Diceros bicornis minor: one gene and its partner. The protein of the gene in region 1 interacts with the protein of each later gene in a biochemical or structural test. Links are inferred from orthologs where the notes say so. Each region holds a gene or a part of one and is shown on either strand. Other genes may lie near its edges.

What was found. The genes of interacting proteins can lie anywhere in the genome.
Region 2: the proteins of MAP4K1 (region 1) and CRKL form a complex in vitro, tested with the Homo sapiens proteins (2 studies listed by BioGRID). The link is inferred for Diceros bicornis minor from reciprocal best matches to the Homo sapiens genes MAP4K1 and CRKL.

Annotation. Positions count from the first base shown.
Region 1 is NC_080773.1:12,765,406-12,775,459, forward strand, and holds the start of MAP4K1 (mitogen-activated protein kinase kinase kinase kinase 1), read right to left. Parts: upstream 4,267-10,054; 5' UTR 4,135-4,266; coding exon 4,036-4,134; intron 3,867-4,035; coding exon 3,809-3,866; intron 3,689-3,808; coding exon 3,598-3,688; intron 2,838-3,597; coding exon 2,773-2,837; intron 435-2,772; coding exon 379-434; intron 287-378; coding exon 239-286; intron 84-238; coding exon 41-83; intron 1-40. Other genes in the region: EIF3K (eukaryotic translation initiation factor 3 subunit K), read left to right, coding at 5,514-5,572, 6,401-6,499, 7,713-7,833, 9,139-9,213. UniProt on the Homo sapiens protein: Serine/threonine-protein kinase, which plays a role in the response to environmental stress. Appears to act upstream of the JUN N-terminal pathway.
Region 2 is NC_080774.1:30,942,995-30,952,484, reverse strand, and holds the start of CRKL (crk-like protein), read right to left. Parts: upstream 3,984-9,490; 5' UTR 3,474-3,983; coding exon 3,163-3,473; intron 1-3,162. UniProt on the Homo sapiens protein: May mediate the transduction of intracellular signals.

The DNA.
Region 1 (10,054 bases):
ACAGCCAGGCCCCCTGCCGACCCCCACCAGCCACACTCACCCAGTCTGACCTCCCCAGAGTCGTTGATGAGGATGTTGGCTCCCTGACGACAGGAGGGGAGATTAGAGGCTATCAGAGACACCCCCCAGCCCAACACTGCCTCCACCCCCTGGTCCCCCCCACCCCCCCACAGCTCAACAGCACTCCTGTCTCATGAGCCCCCCACCCACCAAGGCCCCCTTTCTGCCCCCAGACCACCTTGATGTCCCGGTGTATCTTCTTCTGTGAGTGCAGATAAGCCAGGCCCTGGGGACGAGGGTAGACATGGGGCCGTGAGTGCCTGGGGGCTGGAGCAGGGTCCTGCCCCACCCCCCCAGGCCCACCAGGCCCCTCCTCACCTGGAGCACCTCCCGGCAGACGTAGCTGATCTGGAGCTCTGACAGGGAGCCTGTCACTGCAAAGGTCACCCCAGTGCGGTGTTGGGTGGGACTCAGGCAACACGGGCCCAAGAGCCCCTGGCCCCCACTCACACTGGCTGAGAGGGTGCCACATGGGGAAGGGGAAACAGGACAGGACAAGCGAGAGGGGAAGACGGAGGGGTGGTCAGCCACAGGGAGAGGCAGCAATGCAGGGAACCAGAGGCCGGGGAGACAGATTCATTCAGCAGATATTTACTGCTTGTCTACTGCGTGCCAGGCCCTGTGGTCAGCACGGGGGATACAGCTGCGGATGAAAGAGACAGAGATCCCTGCCCTTGTGGAGAGAACACTGCAGATGGGGAGACCGACAGTAAACAAGATCAATAAGTAAAAGATGTGGTACGTGAGACGCTAATAAACAGTAAGAAGGAAAATAAAGCAAGAAAAGACAACAGGAAATATGTGTGGGAAGGGGTATGACATTTTACACAGGGTGGTCAGCGAAGATTGCTCTAAGGAGGTGACAGGGTGAAGCTGTGAGCAGTGCTGCTTGGCTCCAAGGGGGAACAAGGAGAGCCAGAGCAAAGGCCGGGAGGTGGCAGAGTGTCTGGCGGGCCTGGAAAGCAGCAAAGTGAGTGGAGTGGAGTTCAGGGTAGGAAAGTGGCAGGAGGTGAGGTCAGTCGGCTGGTGGCGAGGGGGGCGGGTCAGACTCTGGGGCAGGACGAGGAGTTTGGTCTTCTCTTCGGAGGGAAATGGAAGCCATGGGGGGACTCTGAGCAGGAGGTGATGTGACGCTGCAAAATGAGGAAAAGCAGAGAGAGAGGGAGAGGGAGAGGGAGAGAGGGAGAGAGGGGGAGGGGGAGAGGGAGAGAGGGAGAGAGGGAGAGGGAGAGGGGGGAGAGAGGGAGAGGGGGAGGGGGAGAGAGGGAGAGAGGGAGAGAGAGAGAGGGAGAGAGGGGGAGAGGGAGAGAGAGAGAGGGAGAGAGGGGGAGAGGGAGAGGGAGAGAGGGGGAGAGGGAGAGAGGGAGAGGGGGGGGAGAGGGAGAGGGGGAGAGGGAGAGAGGGAGAGAGGGAGAGGGAGAGAGGGAGAGAGGGAGAGAGGGAGAGGGAGAGAGGGAGAGAGGGAGAGAGGGAGAGGGAGAGAGGGAGAGAGGGAGAGGGAGAGAGGGGGAGAGGGAGAGAGGGGGAGGGGGGGAGGGGGAGAGGGAGAGAGGGAGAGGGGGAGAGGGGGAGAGGGAGAGAGGGAGAGAGGGAGGGGGAGAGGGAGAGAGGGAGAGGGGGAGAGGGAGAGGGGGAGGGGGAGAGGGGGAGAGGGGGAGAGGGAGAGAGGGAGAGAGGGAGAGAGGGAGAGAGGGAGAGGGGGAGGGGGGGGAGAGGGGGAGAGGGAGAGGGGGAGGGGGGGAGAGGGGGAGAGGGAGAGAGGGGGAGGGGGAGAGGGAGAGAGGGAGAGGGGGAGAGGGGGAGAGGGGGAGAGGGAGAGAGGGGGAGGGGGAGAGGGAGAGAGGGAGAGGGGGAGAGGGGGAGAGGGAGAGAGGGGGAGGGGGAGAGGGAGAGAGGGAGAGGGGGAGAGGGGGAGAGGGAGAGAGGGAGAGGGGGAGAGGGAGAGGGGGAGAGGGAGAGAGGGAAAGAGGGAGAGAGACACAAAGAGAAGCAGGAACAGATCCAAATTGAGAAAGAGAAAGAAAGAGACGGTCAGAAACCAAAAAGTAGGAAGACAGAGATATTGAGAAAAAGAGAGACACAGAGGGCTGGAGAGACAGACAACAGACAAAGAGAGGGGGTCAGAGACCAGGTCTGACAGACCGGCCGTGAATCACTGTCTCTCTGTGGGCCTCAGTTTCCCCCCGAGGACTTCTTAATGAAGTCCTTCCTTTTCTGACATTTGAGGTCTTGGGCTGGAGGGAGACAGGGAGATGGTCGAAGACAGAGGCGGGCATCAGAAATTGAGAGGTGATCAGCCCACCCCACCCACACCCGCAAATTCTCCAAGAGAATGAAAAGCAGGCTGCGAGAGAGAAATCAGAAACTCATTCACGCATTCAACGAAAACGTGGGCACCAACTATAAGCCAGAAACGCAGCAATACTCACACACACGCGTGGACCTTGGTGAGAAAACGCAGACACAGAGGAAGACGCGGAGGGGAAGCAGCAGGGATCGCCACACGCAGAAAGATTAAGGCTGGGCTGCCCAGTCCCAGCGGACAGGGCCTAGGGCCCACTCGGTCACCACAGCATCCCCAGCATCATCCAGGCCAGGCCCAGAAGAGGGGCTCATTGTGTGACACACGGACCAGAAAAAAGGGACACAGAGAGACAGGAGAGGTGACTGGAGGGGCAGGGGCTGCCTGGATGCCCTTACCCCTCCTCTCACCTTGGTAGATGTCCTGGAGAGAACCAGCCCCACAGAATTCCATGCAGATCCAGAGCTTCTGCAGCCTACAACAGTTCAAGAGTAACAATAATAACAATAATAATAATAATAACAACAGCAGTAATAAATTATTACTTATAGGACAGCCCCTGGCTCACTGTCTTGTTCTAGTTCAACAGGAGCTTTAATATAACAGCTGTCATCTCTCTACCTCCCCTTGCCCACCAGAGAGAACACCCCACTTCCATTTTACAGATGGGCAAGTTGAGGCTCAGAGAGGAAATATATACTCAGGGTCAACTGGACTCAAACCCAGGTCTTTGGGCTCCTAACCCAGGGCACCCTCTGCTGTCCCACGCTAAGCCAGGAGAGAGGGCAGAGCTCTCAAAGGTTGTGGAGGTCGGGAGGGGACAGAGGTGCCCAGGGTGACAGGTCTGGGGGACACAGGTCATTATTGGGGCATATGGGATATTAATTTGGGGGTCAGGGAATTTAGGAGCTTACATTAAAGGAGCAGAGAGTGAAACTAAGGGGCCCCAAGGGCAGGATGATGAGAGATTAGTTTTAGGCGACTTGGTTTCAGGTTTGGTTACTAGGAAGGGATCAATATTGGGGACCTCTGGTTAGAAAAGGGAGTTCTGGATTGGGGATTAGATTAGCGGGTGCTCTGGTCAGAAAAGAGGGGCTTCCAACTGGGAAGTTAAGTTAGGGGTGCCCCAGTTAAAAATGCGAGTCCAGGATTGGAGATCGGGTTAGGGGACGCCCTGGTCAGGAACGGGGGTTCTGGGCTAGGGGCTGGGTGGGGTCAGATCTGAGGCTCATCACCAGAGATAACTCCCATGGTAGGCCACGATGTTGGCATGCCGGCAAGTTTTCAAGATGAGGATTTCCTTCTGCAGTGTGGAAACATCGTCATCTGCGAGGAGGGGCAGGAGAGAAAAGGCGGCTGCAGGGAGGGGGCACGGGGGAGATCCATGTCCCAGAAGGTGGGGGTGGGGGTGGGGGTGGGGAAGGAGCTCCTGGGTCCTCTCCTCACCAGGCTCCATCTTCACCATCTTCAATGCAACCAGGTCCCCCGACACCTTGTCTCGAGCCTTGGAAAGGGGAAGTTGGCAGTCAGGCAGGCTCCATTCGCCTGAGCTCTCCCTCAGCATCCCTGAGTCAAAGCCGAGGGCTGGGACCCTCTCGCATCCCCTTCCCTTCTTGGGCCTCACCCCAAAGGTCACTGGTTTGAGGGTGATGGAGAAGGAGGGGGGTCCTCACCTTGAAGACTTCCCCATAGGTGCCGCCACCCAGCCGCTGTAGCAGGTCATAGTGTTCCCGGGGGTCCTTATTAAAGATGTCGGGGTCCACGAGGTCCATCCCTGGGGGCCGGAGCTGGGCCTGCGCCCAGCGGCCAGCAGGGCCTCAGGGCTCGAGTGCTGGCACCTCCCTCCCTCCCCACAAGCCCTGCACCCGCCTTGCCTCCACCGGCTGTGGCCTCCCCCCTCCCCACTCTCGCTTCCTGCCCCAGCGCAGGGCTGTGCAGCCGGCTCCACCCCCTGTCCCCTGAGAGCCTGTGAGGGGCAGCTTGCTTTGGGACCCAGGGGACCCCCCTCTCCACCTCCAGGGCCCTGAGCTGAATGTAAACCAGATGCAAACTATCTTAATTGTGACTTGGGGGGTGCCCTAGCACCCCCCTCCCTTCCCCGTCAGCGTTCTGTTTCTGGGCGGCGACTAGGAACCACAGTTGAACCTCTGCTGAGTGCTTGAGGGTTTGGCCACAACCCAGAGATGGCAAGTCTGCACAGCGACGGCCATGCAGCGTACATTACTGTTCACTTGGGGCACACACACGCGCTTAGTGCTACTCCCCTGTGCGGTGCGCAGACCAGTCGACGTGCACGTGCCGGGATACCTGTGTGCACACATGTGGATGTACCCAGAGCACATACCTCCACATATATGACACATGCGGGGGCATTCAGGCCTGCAGTGTGCAGAATCTGTACACGCATAACTCATGATGGCACACATGGGCGCTCGCCTTCACCCACAAGACTGGAGCCTATGGGGACTGGGCGCAATCCGGCGGGGTCCAGGAGCCCCTCACTCGAGCCCCCACCGGGCAGAGCACAACAGATTTGCAGGCCCCTACCCCTAGAGTTAGGGTGGGGTATGGAGACCAGGTTCAAGGCTTGAAACTGCGGAGCTCCCGGTCCTGCCTCGGGGACCCAGGCCTGGGGCAAAGGGGACCTTAGAGAGCACCGCCCTCGGGACCTGGCCAAGGCCCAAACGGAGAGCTACTACGCGCATCCCAGCAGTTCCGTGAGTTCACGGCCGCGCGCAACGCGACGTGCGCGCACGCCGTTAGAGCTCCATCTCCTTCCTGGCGAGTTCGCGCGCACGTCCTGGGAGCTAGAACCGGCTACGCGAGGCCCGGGAAAAGCTTAGCCCCGCCTCCTCGCCTGAGACGGCGCCTGAGCACTGGGCTAGGAGAAATTTTTTCTCATGCCGTTGGTCGAGCTCGGGTGGAGCGTGTGCGCAAGCGCCAACTGCGCCCGAGGGGCAGAAGTCACGTGACAGCCGGAAAGCGTGGCAGCCGCCGCAACAGCCTTCCCCTTCTCCACCCCCCGGGGCTGGCTGGAGGGACAACAATGACGTAGTTTCCGTTTCCGCCGCCTCTTCCTTTTCCGGTCCTCGAGGACGCCGGGCCAGCCGGGTTTTCGGCTCCAGCCCCGGTGTGGGAGGCGACGGCAGTCATGGCGATGTTTGAGCAGATGAGAGCGAACGTGGGCAAGTTGCTTAAAGGCATCGACAGGTCTGAGCCCGGTCGGAGGGAGCGCTTTTGGCCAGGCGGGGTGGAGGAGAAGGTTTTCGGGGACAGCAAGGGGTGGTCAGGGTCCTGGGCTTGCCCTGAGGTGGCATTTCCCTGTTGTCTTGGAGACGTTTCAGGAAACAGCGCTGCAAAGGCCTAAAGGCAGGAGATAGTCTTGTTTTCCACCCAGTCCCTGCCTCTTTGTTTTAAGACTCTTTCTCTGTCCCTTAGTTTTCTCTCTCTGCTTCTCAGTCTCTCACTGTGTCTCTTCATCTCTCATTCTTTTCCTTTTATGTCAGTCATTCAGTACGTGTTCGCTAAAATCTACTCTGTCAGTGCTGAGGACGAGAGGTGACCAGTACAGCTGCAAGTCATGATTTCATGGAGTTCCCAGTTCAGAGTCCAGACAAACCGGCCAGTAGACAGTGATAGCCAGGAGTGGTCAGGGCTGTGATGGGGGAAGCCAGGCAGGAGAGGATGGGGCTGGACCAGAGTGGGGGCCTGGGGAGGGGAGCAAGGGGTGGGAGGCAAAGATGTCCAGGAGGCCAGGTATACAGGCTGCCATGACTGATTGGCTGAGAGGCTGGGGAGGCGTCCTAGGAATGACCCAGGGCTTTGATGGGCTTTAGAGCTTAGCTTTAGATCTGGGATGTGGATAAGTTTTATTAGAGGTTATAGGGCTGATTCCAGACTTGGGTAGAGTAGGTGACCAGTACCAGATTTAGAGAGAAGGGAGGGAGAGAGAGAGGAGCAGGTTACAGTGCCCACCTGCACCCTAGTCCCGTAAAGTGACTGACCTCAGCTCCTGTGTCCATCTTGAATCCCCCCTAGGTACAATCCTGAGAATCTGGCCACCCTGGAGCGCTACGTGGAGACGCAGGCCAAGGAGAATGCCTATGATTTGGAAGCCAACCTGGCTGTCCTAAAGCTGTGAGTGTCTGTCTCCATCCCGACCCTCTTGCCAGCAGGGTGCACTCCTAACACTGGGTGGGGTGGGAGTTGGAGTGGCCTGCAGGATGTGGCTTTTCTTGGTGTGCAAATCTAGGAAGCCAAGGAAGTTGGGGCAGGGGGAGGATGGTTTTTAAAAAATTCATTACAAGACACACATACGGGCTAGTACATAAAACAAATAGGTAGTCTAGCAAGTAATTATAAATGAACACTCACATCGTGATCACCATCCATATTGCAAAATTGAGTATTGCTAGTGTGTTGGGTCTTTGTCCCATATGCTTTGTGCCAACCACCCCATCCCCCACTCTAGTAACCACTCTTATGCTCTTCTGGCCTGCCTTTATGTGAGTTTACCACACATGCATGCATCCTGATTAGCCTAGCTCAGGTTTTCCTGCTTTGAATGGGACACAAATGTAGTCATTCAGCACATGCTGTTCTGCGTCTGGCATCTTCCACTCAGCACTGGGTCTGTGAGATCCATCCGTTGTCTGTGTGGCTGCAGTTTGTATGTTGTCATTGCTGCATCGTGTTCCACTGTGCGACTGTGTCCTGATTATCCGTTGTTCTGTGGATGGATGTTGGGGTTCTCCCCGCCTCAGTGCTTTATTGACAGGCTATTGCCTGGGTGATTTTTACAGATTGTATAGCCTCGGTTTTGACACCTATAAAGTGGTGATAACAGCACTTGTATTTGTGGCTTGATTGTTATTGGTGATGACCTCTGCCTCATGAGCACTCACTGAACGGAGCTATGGTGCTATAAGCTTTGTATGTGTGAACTCACTTAGGTACTATATTGCCCTTGTGAGGTAGACATGGTTGTTATTGTCGTTGTTATTTGCAAGGGAAGAAATTGACGTACAGAGAGTTTAAAGTCAGTAGTCCAGGGACACTCAGCAGGGAAGTGTATACCCACTACTCCGGGCTACTATTTCTGTACTCACTTGTTTGTGATCCACGGAACAGTGTGTGTCTGACTAGCCACGCTATCCCCATATACGGAGCAGGAAAGGAGGCTCAGGGAGGTTAAGGTCACACGACCAGAGAGGGCTGTGGTTGGGATAGGAGTCCAGGCATGTCCAGCTGCCAAGCTCTGGGCCAAAGCAGTGGGCGGCCTGCCTGGCAGCTGGTGAGGTCCAGGGACCCGGAGGTGCCGCTGTTGCTATGTCTCTGTTCCCCTTCTCAGGTACCAGTTCAACCCGGCCTTTTTCCAGACCACGGTCACTGCCCAGATCCTGCTGAAGGCCCTCACCAACCTGCCCCACACCGACTTCACGCTGTGCAAGTGCATGATCGACCAGGCACACGTATCCCTCCAGCTCCCAGGCTGGTGTGGGGGGGAGGGGGCGTGGCCCAGTAGATGAACTCACCTGGAAGTGGTCTGGCAGTTCAGCCACAAACACTGCGTGCCTGATCTGGGCTTGGCCCGCTGCTGGGTGGGGCTGGGACACTGCCCTCACGGAGCTCACTGCCCACTGGAGGAGACAGGCCCCTGTCGGTGACAGCCTGGAGCAGTCAGGGCTTGGGGTTAGAGGGGCCAGAGGAGGCACCTGACCCTGTCTGGGTGTTAGGGAAAGCTTCCTGGACGAGGGAGCATCTGAGAGATGAAGAGTCAGGTGAAGCAGCAGGGAAGGGTGATCCAGGCAGAGGGAACAGTATGTAGGGAAGCCTGGAGGAAAAGAAGAGCTCAGTACTGTGTTTTAGAGGCAGTAGAGGAAGTTTGCCATAGCCGCACCACAGATTTCAAGGTGGAGTTTGGTCAGATTCAGAAAGGGCACTGGGGAGCCATAGAAGGTTTTAAAGCTGCAGAGTGGTATGGGGAGATGTATGCTTTAGAAAGATTCCCATGAGGGTGCCTAGCTGAGTAAAGACCGCCAGGCAAGAGGCAGGAGTCCTGAAGAGCTAGATTGTCAGCTGAACTTCATTATACGTATCCCGTCTCTTGACGAACTTGGCAGAGTCCCCCATCCATGCTGGGCCCTGTGCTTGTACCTGCTGGATAGCGGCTGAGCTGAGACATGCTGGCTTACTCATTGAACCTGCTCTGCCAGGTGGTCCGTGGGAGTGCCTGCCTTCCGAGAGATGGCCCACCTTCCCCAGGGGTCTGTTTTGGTGGCTTAAAAAAAAAAGGCATACAATACGCTGTTAAAAGTACAAAAAAGCATACAGTGAAAAGCAATAGAGCTTCCTCCCTCCCCTGTCCCACAGCCATCTCACTCTCCTCCGAGGAGGCAATAGTTGTTTGCAGTTCTTCGGTACCTTTCCACAGATAGCCCCTAGATGTGTACACGTGTGTGTGCTTATATACAGGTGTCCCCCCACCCAAGTGGTATGCTACTATGCATGTTGTTCTGCATCTTGCTTTCTTCACAGTGTGTCTTGTCACGTTCTCCACCTCAGTTCTGTAAGAGTTGACTCGATCTCAGTGTGTGGATGGGCCGTTGTTGATTTCATTGTCCCCATCATCAGATCGTTAGCTTGATCTCACCTTTGCGGTTACCTTAACCGTGCTGCGCTCTGTACAGAAGGTGGGCGGGGAGGGACGGTCTAGGACTCAGCAGCAGCCCCCTCAGGCTCCAAGGCCATTTTTCCTTAACACTTCCTCCTCCCAGCAAGAAGAACGGCCGATCCGGCAGATTTTGTACCTCGGAGACCTACTGGAGACCTGCCACTTCCAGGCCTTCTGGGTAACTTCCCTTGGGTGCCGGGACACGGAGGGTGACTGGGCACTCGGAGCAGACTGCTAAAAGTAACGACTGTGTACATTTCTGGCTGCCTGGCGATGAGCCCTGTGTGCGTGATCTCATGGAGTTGTCATCCTCACGCGGCGCCAGGACTCCCAGGCCGTCCTCTGGGCCCACAAGGCTCAGGCTTACACACACACCCATCCTTCCTGCAAAAGTCCTCCATCCTTTGAACGCTCTGTCTCTTGCTCTAACTGGAGCCCGGCCTCCACTTCTGCGGCTTCCCAAGTGGGAGGCCAACGGTCTCCTTGCTTCTCACTGCCTCTCCCAGACCCATCTCCCTCCCCTCCTGAAACCCCCCAGCCCTGAAGGTCGTGTGTCGTCGCCTCCTGCCCCACTTGGTGGGGTCAGCCCCCAGGTGATTGCTCGTCATTGCATGAGGGATTTAGCTGCTACTCACTGCCACCCTTTTCTCCTCTCCTCATTCTCAGATGCTTGGAAAGCCAGATTGGTGATCCTCCCACCGCCCTGACCTCTCGTTTCCTCCATCTCGTATCCTCCATGTGGCCTCTGCCTCTCACTCCCGGTCTAGCCTAGACCAGTTCTCAGCACACTGGACCCCTGAGGAGTTATAATTTTATTTTATTTATTTATTTTTCCCCCAAAGTCCCAGTAGATAGTTGTACGTCACAGTTGCTCATCCTTCCAGTTGCTGTATGTGGGACGCGGCCTCAGCATGGCGGGAGAAGCGGTGCGTCGGTGCGCGCCCGGGATCCGAACCCGGGCCACCAGCAGCGGAGCGCGCACACTTAACCGCTAAGCCACGGGGCCGGCCCTGAGGAGT
Region 2 (9,490 bases), on another chromosome or scaffold:
ACTGTCTTTCTCACCTCAGGACTTTGTGTAAGCTCCTCCCTATGCTTGTAAGGCTCTTACCCTCCTTTTAGCACAAGCCTTCCCAAGGCTTGCTTCTTCTCTACCCTTAGGTAGTTTCATGCTTTCTCTGACCACACCACCTCAGGTAGGTCCCTTCTATTATATTCTCTCAGGCTAGGTTTATTTCTTTCATAGCATTTATTAATCTTATAAGTATTTTTTTTTCTACTTTTTAGTCTGCCTCCTTCACTAAAATATAAGTTCCATGACGGAGAAAATATGTCTGTCACCCATCTTTCCTAGCACCTATCACTGGGATATAATTCTCCTCTAATCTTTTTTTGTTTGTGAGGAAGATCGGCCCTGAGCTAACATCTCCCAACCCTCCTCTTTTTTTTGTTGTTGAGGAAGACTGGCCCTGGGCTAACATCCATGCCCATCTTCCTCTACTTTATATGGGCCGCCGCCACAGCATGGGTTCACAAGCGGTGCGGTGGGTGCGCGCCCAGGATCTGAACCGGCGAACCCCAGGCCGCCACAGCGGAGCGCGTGCAATTAACCGCTTGCGCCACGAGGCCGGCCCCCAAAGTATTTTAATAAAATATAAAATTAAAAGTTAAGGAAGAGTCCAATAAAAAAGATCAGACAGAACAAAACAAGCACCAGTTCTTAAATTCTGACTTTTCGATAAGCAAAAGGAACTACTAGCCAAGGGGCATGAAACTTTTAATTTTATTTATTTATTTTTTCCCCCAAAGCCCCAGTAGATAGTTGTATGTCATAGCTGCACATCCTTCTAGTTGCTGCATGTGGGACGCGGCCTCAGCATGGCCGGAGAAGCGGTGCATCGGTGCGCGCCTGGGATCCGAACCCGGGGCGCCAGCAGTGGAGCGCACACACTTAACCGCTAAGCCATGGCCCCGGCCCAGCATGAAACTTTTTAAAGCTAAACCACTTAATTGATCCTGTTTGGGGTGTGAAGAAGCATTATATTGATTTTTGCATTTGGCCAAGGCTTTACTAGCCTCTAGTTTTCTACAAAGGCTAAAAACATTTCAAACCAAATCCATGAATCTCAGGCTTTCCTGAAATTCAAATCCATGAACTCCAAATCCATTAATTCAGATGCAACCCAAAGACGCAGTATAACAAAGCAAATCAAGTCAGGATCTAATTCAACCAGCATTGTGATCACCCTCCAAGATATCAGGGAAAATTAAAAAGTAAATTACAGCCACAGGCCTCAGGCGTAAGGCACAGAGAAGGAGAAACAATTACAGCTGAATGTGAGGGGGAGGGTCAGAGAAAGGTCCTATTATTTGTGAGGGGCCTGGAACAACAGGTAGGATTTCACTGGTCAGGAGTGGAGTGGAGTTAACGCTGTCAATGAAGAGCCAACAGCCTGAGCAAAGGTACAAAGCTGTGAGGAGGTGTGTAGGGATGGCTACCAGGGACTGAGTGAGTGGCCTTCGTGAGGCTGCAGTAAAGGAAGGATGAGAGGGAGCGAGGACACGCATCAAAGACAGAAAGTTCCGCCTGCTACCTGGGAAGACCAGTGTATGGAAAATTTGGATTCGTTCTTGTGGGTACTGGGAAGCCAGTGCAGCATCTCCCTTTTTCTCCTTCTAGAAGGGGATCAAGCCATTTACTCATACTTGTTGAGACAGCTGTATTACAGTACCTGTCACCTCAAAGAAAGCACAATACCCTGCACATAACATGGCTTAATAAATGCCTGAAATTAATGACATCATTCACCACCGCAAGTTAGTAAAGTAATTTACTTAAACACATTAAAAATCTCATTACAGTGGGTTCTAAGATTCTCCCCAACCCCTTATATTGGAATTATATTGTGCTCAAAGTTGACTCCAATTACCAGCATCTTTGGGGACCTGGAGGTTTCACCAATCAGATTCCTGGGGTCTACATCTTTGTTATACAGTATTTGATTTATAATCACTTTCTCCCATTTTTTAAAGTCCATTTAGTTCAGTAGTTAATCTAGTACAGTCATTATAATACCATGGTTTTGTTTCCTCTCTATATCTATTCCACAGAAGCAACACTTAGGCATCCAGTGGACGCTCCATAATTAATTATGATAGCTTTCAATGTTTAAAGTTCAGAGATATCTTGTCAGCAAAATCTATAAAGTCAGAAACATCTCATTCTGAAACATCTTTATTAGCATCCTCTCCATTTAAATAGATGCTTAAGAAACAAATTAGGCAAAGAAATACTTTTTATTTTTAAAATTCTAGGCAATTTCTTCAGCTCAAATTTGGCACAATTTAAATAAAAGAAACCTCTGACAGAATACTGATTAAGACAAATTAAAGCAAATAATCAAATAAAAAATGCATTTTACTTACAAAAGAGAATAGAATTAAGATAACTGTCATTCAAAAATTTCCCTTAGTAAGTAACATCTTAGCCTTATTCCTCCTTGGAATTTAACCAAATTAATTTCTAGCCTATTAATGGTCCATCTTGGCAGGAAACTATAAAATAAAAATTCAAAAAAATGTTCCCGCTGAAGCCAATGCACCTTCTTTTAAAATTTTGTAATTAATACATTATAAAACAGGTGTCTGGCTTATTTCAAACTTGGCATCAAGATATCAATATATAGTTGAAATTTCAGTTAAAGGTTTCTGTTTTTAAACGCTAAAGCATTTTCATTTGTCGACTATTTCAAAGGCTGCAGTCCAAGGGTTCTTGATCTGCAGTAACCTGGAGTGCACACATCTGCAGGGAGTCCAAGAACCTTGAATGCTGTGCACACTTGTGCGTACGTGCATTTTTGGAGGAGAGGGATGCCACGGCTATCTTCAGATTCTCAAAGTCTATAGCCCAAAAACACCACCACCACCACCCTGCTTTATTATGATAACCAAATAAAGAACGCGACGAAAAACAAAAAGCGTACATTTTAACTATGCAATCGCCGTTAAGCACGTTTAAAACGCATCCCCTCACCCAGTGACCCAGATCCTGACAGTAGCCTTCCGTTCGGAATGCCTTCTGGAAAATAATTTGGTTCAGAATGGGGACAAATAGGTTCAGTCACACCCCCCGCCCCCTCTTCGATCGACCCCAAGCGAACCAACCCGGCCCTTCTCGACCCTCCTCCGCGGTCGGGGTGGGCTGCGCGCCTACCTGGGCGCGGGCTCGATGAGGGTGGTGGTGTCCAGGTAATGGATCTTGTAGAACTCCAGCAGGGCGGGCAAGTGGTCAAACTCCTGGTCCCCGATCTTAAAACGGCGGTTGGGCAGCGAGTTGATGATGTAGTGGGAGACCCGCGAGTTCTCGGACACGGACAGCACATAGTCCCCGGGGCAGGTGGAGGAGTCGCGGACCAGGAACACGCCGTGGCGCTGACCTTGGAGCCGGGTCTGTGCCTCTTGGCGCGACACCGGCCCCATGTACCAGGCGGAGCGGTCTGAGGAGTCGAACCTGGCGGAGGACATGGTGTCGGAACGGGGCCCTGCGGCGGGTCGGGGCGCGGCTGCTCTCGCCTGCTCTGGTCGCCTCTGCCCGACAGACGGCTTTGGGGCCGAAGAAGGGCCTCGACACACCTCGAGGCGCGCTTACAAGGCCGAGCCAGCACCTTCCTCTCGGCTCCGGGCCCGCAGCATCCCCCGCCGCCGCCGCCCGCCTGCTCCGGGGTCGCCTCAAGGAGGGAGCCGGCTCGGGGAATGCGGGGCAGAGCCCGGGGTCGGGGCGGGCGAAGCCGAGCCGCAGCGGAGGCCGCCCCGGGGTCTCGGGCTGCCCAGCGTACCAGGGGTGCGCTCCAGTCACTTCTGGCCTGGAACGCGCCGGCCTCGCGCCCCTACGGCTCTGCACCGACCTCCGCCGCCACTCCAAGCACTAAACTCCAGGGAGCGTCGCGCCTCCGGGGCGGTTTTGCCCAGCCCGTTCCCAACAGCCACAGCAACAAAATGGCGGACGCGGGAGAAGCACCCGGCCACCTCCCCCTCTGCTCAGCACGCTCCGTCTGCGCACGCGCAGCCCCCGGCTCCCAGCTGCCGCCGGGGCCCTCCCCGTGACGTCAAGCAGCGCAGCCAATCAGGAGCGCGGTGGTGACCGTCCGGGCGTGCGCGGCTCTCGCCCGCTCCCGCGTTCCGGGAGGAGGCGGAGGCGGAGGTCGCGGAGGCGGGCACTCCCTTCCTGGACGGCGGTGTGCCGCCGGGGGCGCTGCAGCTGCCGGGTCTCTTTGAGCTGGCAGGAAAACAGCTGGACTCGAGAGGGAGCGGCTTTTCGAAAACCTGCTCTGGGAACAAAGCGTAACGTGCAGGCCTAATCTGCGGCCTGGGAGGCGTGGCACTGAGGTGACCTGGCCGGCCGAGGGGCCCAAGGGGACCCGCGCTAACGGAGACCGACGGGAGGACAGGCCCCGATGGGCCGAGGTGGCTCAGGAAGGAGACCGCGGGGGCTTAGGTGACCGGCAGATGGGCCCGAGGTGGCCTGGTAGGCTAAGGGACCCAGAGTGGCCAGGTGACCCGACAGGCACAAGTATAGGGTGTGAAGGTTGTATTGGCAGGATTAAGTGGTTTAGGAAGTCTACAGCCTGGGGTAATCTAGCCATCACTGGCGCTGAATTACTGCAAATAAAATGCAAACGCCTCTGGGGCGTGGCTTGAAGGCCTCGCCTGCTCCGGATTCTGCCTGCTGCTCCGAGTTAACCTCCCTCCATTCCCCCTTGTTTACCCCGCTCCAGCAGTGCCCTCTAGCCTGTCTACCAGCCCACCCCTGTCCTCCCCACTGGAATGTAAATTTTAAGAGAGCGGGAATCTTGTCTATCTTGTTCACCTCTGGGCCTAGCAAAATGTCTGGCCCTGACTTGATGCTCAAATATTTGTTGAATGAATGACTACTGAAGAAAACCTCAGGCAACTGGTGCTGGATTATTGGTAGCACCACCCCCGAAACTGGACAGACAAGAAAGTAACTGCACAGACAAGAAAGTATGTCCAAAAAGGGAGATGCAGGCAGTACAAACCCACGCTTAGATCCCTCTGTCAGTGGAATTGCATTCTGGCCGTTTGCACCCTCCCTCCTCCCCAGATTGAACATATCCTAGATTGTAGGGTGATAGGTGATGTCCATCTTTGGGTAAACTAAAGGGGAAATGTCAAGGTCTACTGCCTTTTGTGATTCAGCATTACAGGTTTTCATCTTCTCTCCAAATACTTTCATGTTGTATTAGTCTCAGGTTTGATTAGCACAGAATTTGAAAATGATGGCTTGGGTTCCACTCCTGGCTTAATCAGTTGACTAGCTGAGTGGCCTTGGGCCAGTTACTTAATCATCCATCCATGCCTCATATATTATTAAACAAGCTAATAAATGTAAAGTACTTAGAATAGTGCCTGGCACATATTAAGCATCATATAAGAGTTTTTTATTATTGTTATTTAGCCTCTTTCTTGGCTTCTACCTCCATTGCCTACAAACACGGAGATCTTAAAATGAGTGGATGAGGGTGGGGAGAATAATTCCCATTTGATTTGCTAGCTACTTTTCACTGCCAGATTTTACCACTTCATCATCACCCACTCCTTGCCCAGCCTTCTTCATTTGGTTTCTACCCTTACTTTGCCTGAAACTTGCCTTTGGAGATCATCACTGATCTCCATTGATCCCATCATTTTCCTTGATCTACCTGGCTCTACGCGTTTATGTTGAAAATCTCTTTCCAGAAAGACTACTTTTGTTTTTGTTTTTTCTTCTTTTAAGCTCCTGGGACACTAACGTAATTTCTTCTACCTCTCCAAATACACTTTCTCAGTCTCTTTCTGTGGCTCTTTTGTCCAGCCTCAAAGTGTAGAAACTCAGTCCTCAACCTCTCTCTTTTGGTAGCTTCTCCTTTGGTAGGCCAATCTTCATGAAGGCTTTAGGGGTCATCCCTTTGTTGGTGACTTCAAAACACATATATTCTAAAAGTAGAACAAAAACTGACCACACCCTATGCAAACACCTAAATTAATTTTTATCACATGCTATTGTAATTCTTTATGTGTCTCTCCTTTCCTAATCTGAGCATCTTGGAGGCAGACTGTAGTATTATTTTTTGTATTCCCAGTGCCTATCACATAATATACACCTAGTAAATGGTTTTTGAATGTAGGTGGATAACGATGGGAAGAAACCAGAGAAAACTAAAAATTTATTTTAGTGAAGGTAAGGAGACTATGTGATTTTTTTCCCCTTTTATTAACATAATAAATGTATTCAAAGTAGATATTTGGACCTAAGGTTTAGCCCCATATCACTCTCTGTTTAAATCTCCCATTTGGAGGGGCCAGCCTCGTGGCTTAATGGTTAAGTGCGAGTGCTCCGCTGCTGGCAGCCTGGGTTCGGATCCTGGGCTAGCACTAACACACCGCTTGTCTGGCCATGCTGAGGCCGCGTCCCAGCAACTAGAAGGATGTGCACCTATGACATACAACTATCTACTGGGGCTTCGGGGAGAAAAAGGGGAAAAAAAAAAAGGAGGAGGATTGGCACTAGATGTTAGCACAGGGCCAGTCTTCCTCACAAAAAAAGAGGAGGATTGGCACGGATATTAGCTCAGGGCTGATCTTCCTCACAAAAAAAAAAAAATCTTCCATTTGGATTAAATTTTGCCTTTCAGCTCCCCCTTTTCTGTCAGTAGCATCACTGTTTTCCTAATTGGCAGACTCAAATCTCAGTCATCTTTTACTTAACTGAAGAACTCCGTGATATGTGATTTATAAGTGCTTTTCAATTCACAGAACTTCACATAATACATTGTTTTGCTTAATCTAACCAAAGTCCCATGAAATACCCTGTAACAGAGGATCCAGAAGCTCAGAGAGGTTAAGTGACTTGCTTATATAAGTTATTGTAAGTTATATAATTTGCAAGAGGCAGAGCTGGCACTCTTAAGCCAGGTCTTTTGACTTGAAGTCAAGGTCTCATTTCACTGTTACACAACTGCCTATAATTTAGTCAATTTTCTTTGTTTTGCTGATAGTGAAAATGAGGCCCTCCAAAGTAAATTCTAGCACCAGAAAGGAATATCAATCTTGGAACAGGGAGAAGCGGTTGGATTTGTCCCCTAGCTTGGGTTTCAGATACCACCACCATTCTGCTGCCAAAGGGCCATGCTCCCCTCTTTAAAAATTCCTCTTAAAAATGAATCAAGGGGCCGGCCCCATGGCATAGTGGTTAAGTGCTTGCGCTCCGCTGCTGGCGGCCTGGGTTCGTATCCCTGGCACGCACCACTTGTCAGGCCATGCTGTGGCAGCGTCCCGTATAAAGTGGAAGAAGATCAGCATGGATGTTAGCTCAGAGCCGGTCTTCCTCAGCAAAAAGAGGAGGATTGGCATGGATGTTAGCTCAGGGCTGATCTTCCTCACAAAAAAAAAAAAAAAGAATCAAAATACCTCTCCTTTTGCTTCAAAATAGTCCAGTAGGGAATAGGGTATGGATTAGATAAAGATGAAACAAGAATGGCCTTGTGTTGATAATTGTTGAAGCTGGGTGACATGATGTGTATGTGTGTGGGGTTAATTATATTATATTATTCTACTTTTGTATATGTTTGGAATTTTTCACAATAAAATTTTTTTTAATTTTTTTTAAACGAGTCTCTATTTCTTTTTTATTTTTATTTTATTTTTTTGCTGAGGAAAATTGGCCCTGAGCTAACATCTGTGCCCATCTTCCTCTGTTTTGTATATGGGATGCCACCACAGCATGGCTTGATGAGTGCTGCATAGGTCTGTGCCCGGGATCTGAACCTGTGAACCCTGGGCTGCCAAAGCGGAGTATGGGAACTTAACCACTATGCCACTGGGCTGGCCCCTCACAATAAAAAGTTATTTTAAGTACTTTCATTTATTCTTCCTTAGCACAGCTGAGACAAGCTTTAAAAAAAATTCCAAAAAATGTTCTTAGATGTTAAGAGAGAACAAAATGGAAATGAATGGAGAAGCAACAAGGAAGCATTTAAAAAAGGGCTGTAACATAAAGATTTGTGATTCTGTCTTAGCTTGCTCATTCCCAGGGTTTCCAGATGGCATTATACTTACTCATCTTCTAAGATATTTACAAGCTAGACTCAAAGGACTGACAGGCTTTTTGAGCAACTTGTCCGGATTCCTTACTTCCTAGCCCTGAGGCTAGCTCTGTACAGAAAACACAACCGGGACCCACTGCTGACTTTTTGTTCTCCCCTGTCTAAGCAGGTCCAACCCTTCAGGTGATGGTTAAAGCCAGGCAATCGTTGTAGATTGCTGCCTTACTGAGGACACCAGAACAAGCGTCTGACCCTTCTTCCTGCCCCTGATAATTTTCTTTTTTCCCTCCTATTACTTTGCTACTCTAATACTAATAATGTTCGTATCCCCATTATAATTTTCCATACCAAACTATTTAAAATATCAACTGAATAATCACTTCTTTCATAGGGTGATACCTCTGAACTAGGCTTAGCTACGATATCCAGAAGCTCTGCTGACTACTACAGAAAGCACTGGCCTACTTTATTCCAGTGTTTTAAAGTATGGTCATGTTCCCCTTGTCATTTTGTAATGTAGTTTTAATTGCTCTGTCACCTCTATTATAAAATGTCCGCTTTCTTGTCACTTCGCTGCTTGAGAGCTGAAAGCAAATTTTCCCGTTTCCCTTGGATTTCAGAGCACTCTGGAGTGTCATTAGTAAAATTCTGAGCAGGGTGATCCTTCCACTAGGGCATACTGATTCCCTCTCACACTTATCTCAAAGAAGTCGGTTCTACGCAACCCTTTAGACCAAGTGTCACCCAGGTTTTTCTGTAAAGGGCCAGAGAGTAAATATTTTAGGCTTTGCAGGCCAAGACGAAAATCAAGAATATTACGTAGGGGCCGGCCCCGTGGTGTAGCGGTTAAGTGCTCGCGCTTCACCGCTGGCGGCCCGGGTTTGGATCCTGGGCGCACACTGAGGCACCGCTTGTCAGGCCATGCTGTGGCGGCATCTCACATAAAGTAGAGGGAGATCGGCACAGATGTTAGCTCAGGGCCGGTCTTCCTCAGCAAAAAGAGGAGGATTGGCATGGATGTTAGCTCAGGGCTGATCTTCCTCACAAAAAAAAAAAAAGAATATTATGTAGGTACTTATATAATGAGAAAAAAAATTTTCTACAAGTGTTTTAAAAATGAGATTGAAAATACAATAGCAACTGAGTATAACTTTTTTATAATCCAGGTATTCTAGTGAGAAGAATGGAATTCTTTTGTTTGGGGTAGTATTTTGCTTAATTGGGGCTCAATGTTAGTGTTCTCTATCATCAAATGTTGAGCTATTAATGCTGATGAGACTTTACGTATTTCATTTTTGAAAATGTCTTTCACCCAGATGGTACTGCCAATACTGCTATCAATCCATGAGCGTGATTTTAATTGAGTATATTCGTTGTTGGAAGGCATGTATAGCATTGTTTTAAATTTTTCTCCTGATATTTGCCTTTTAGCTTGTTGTT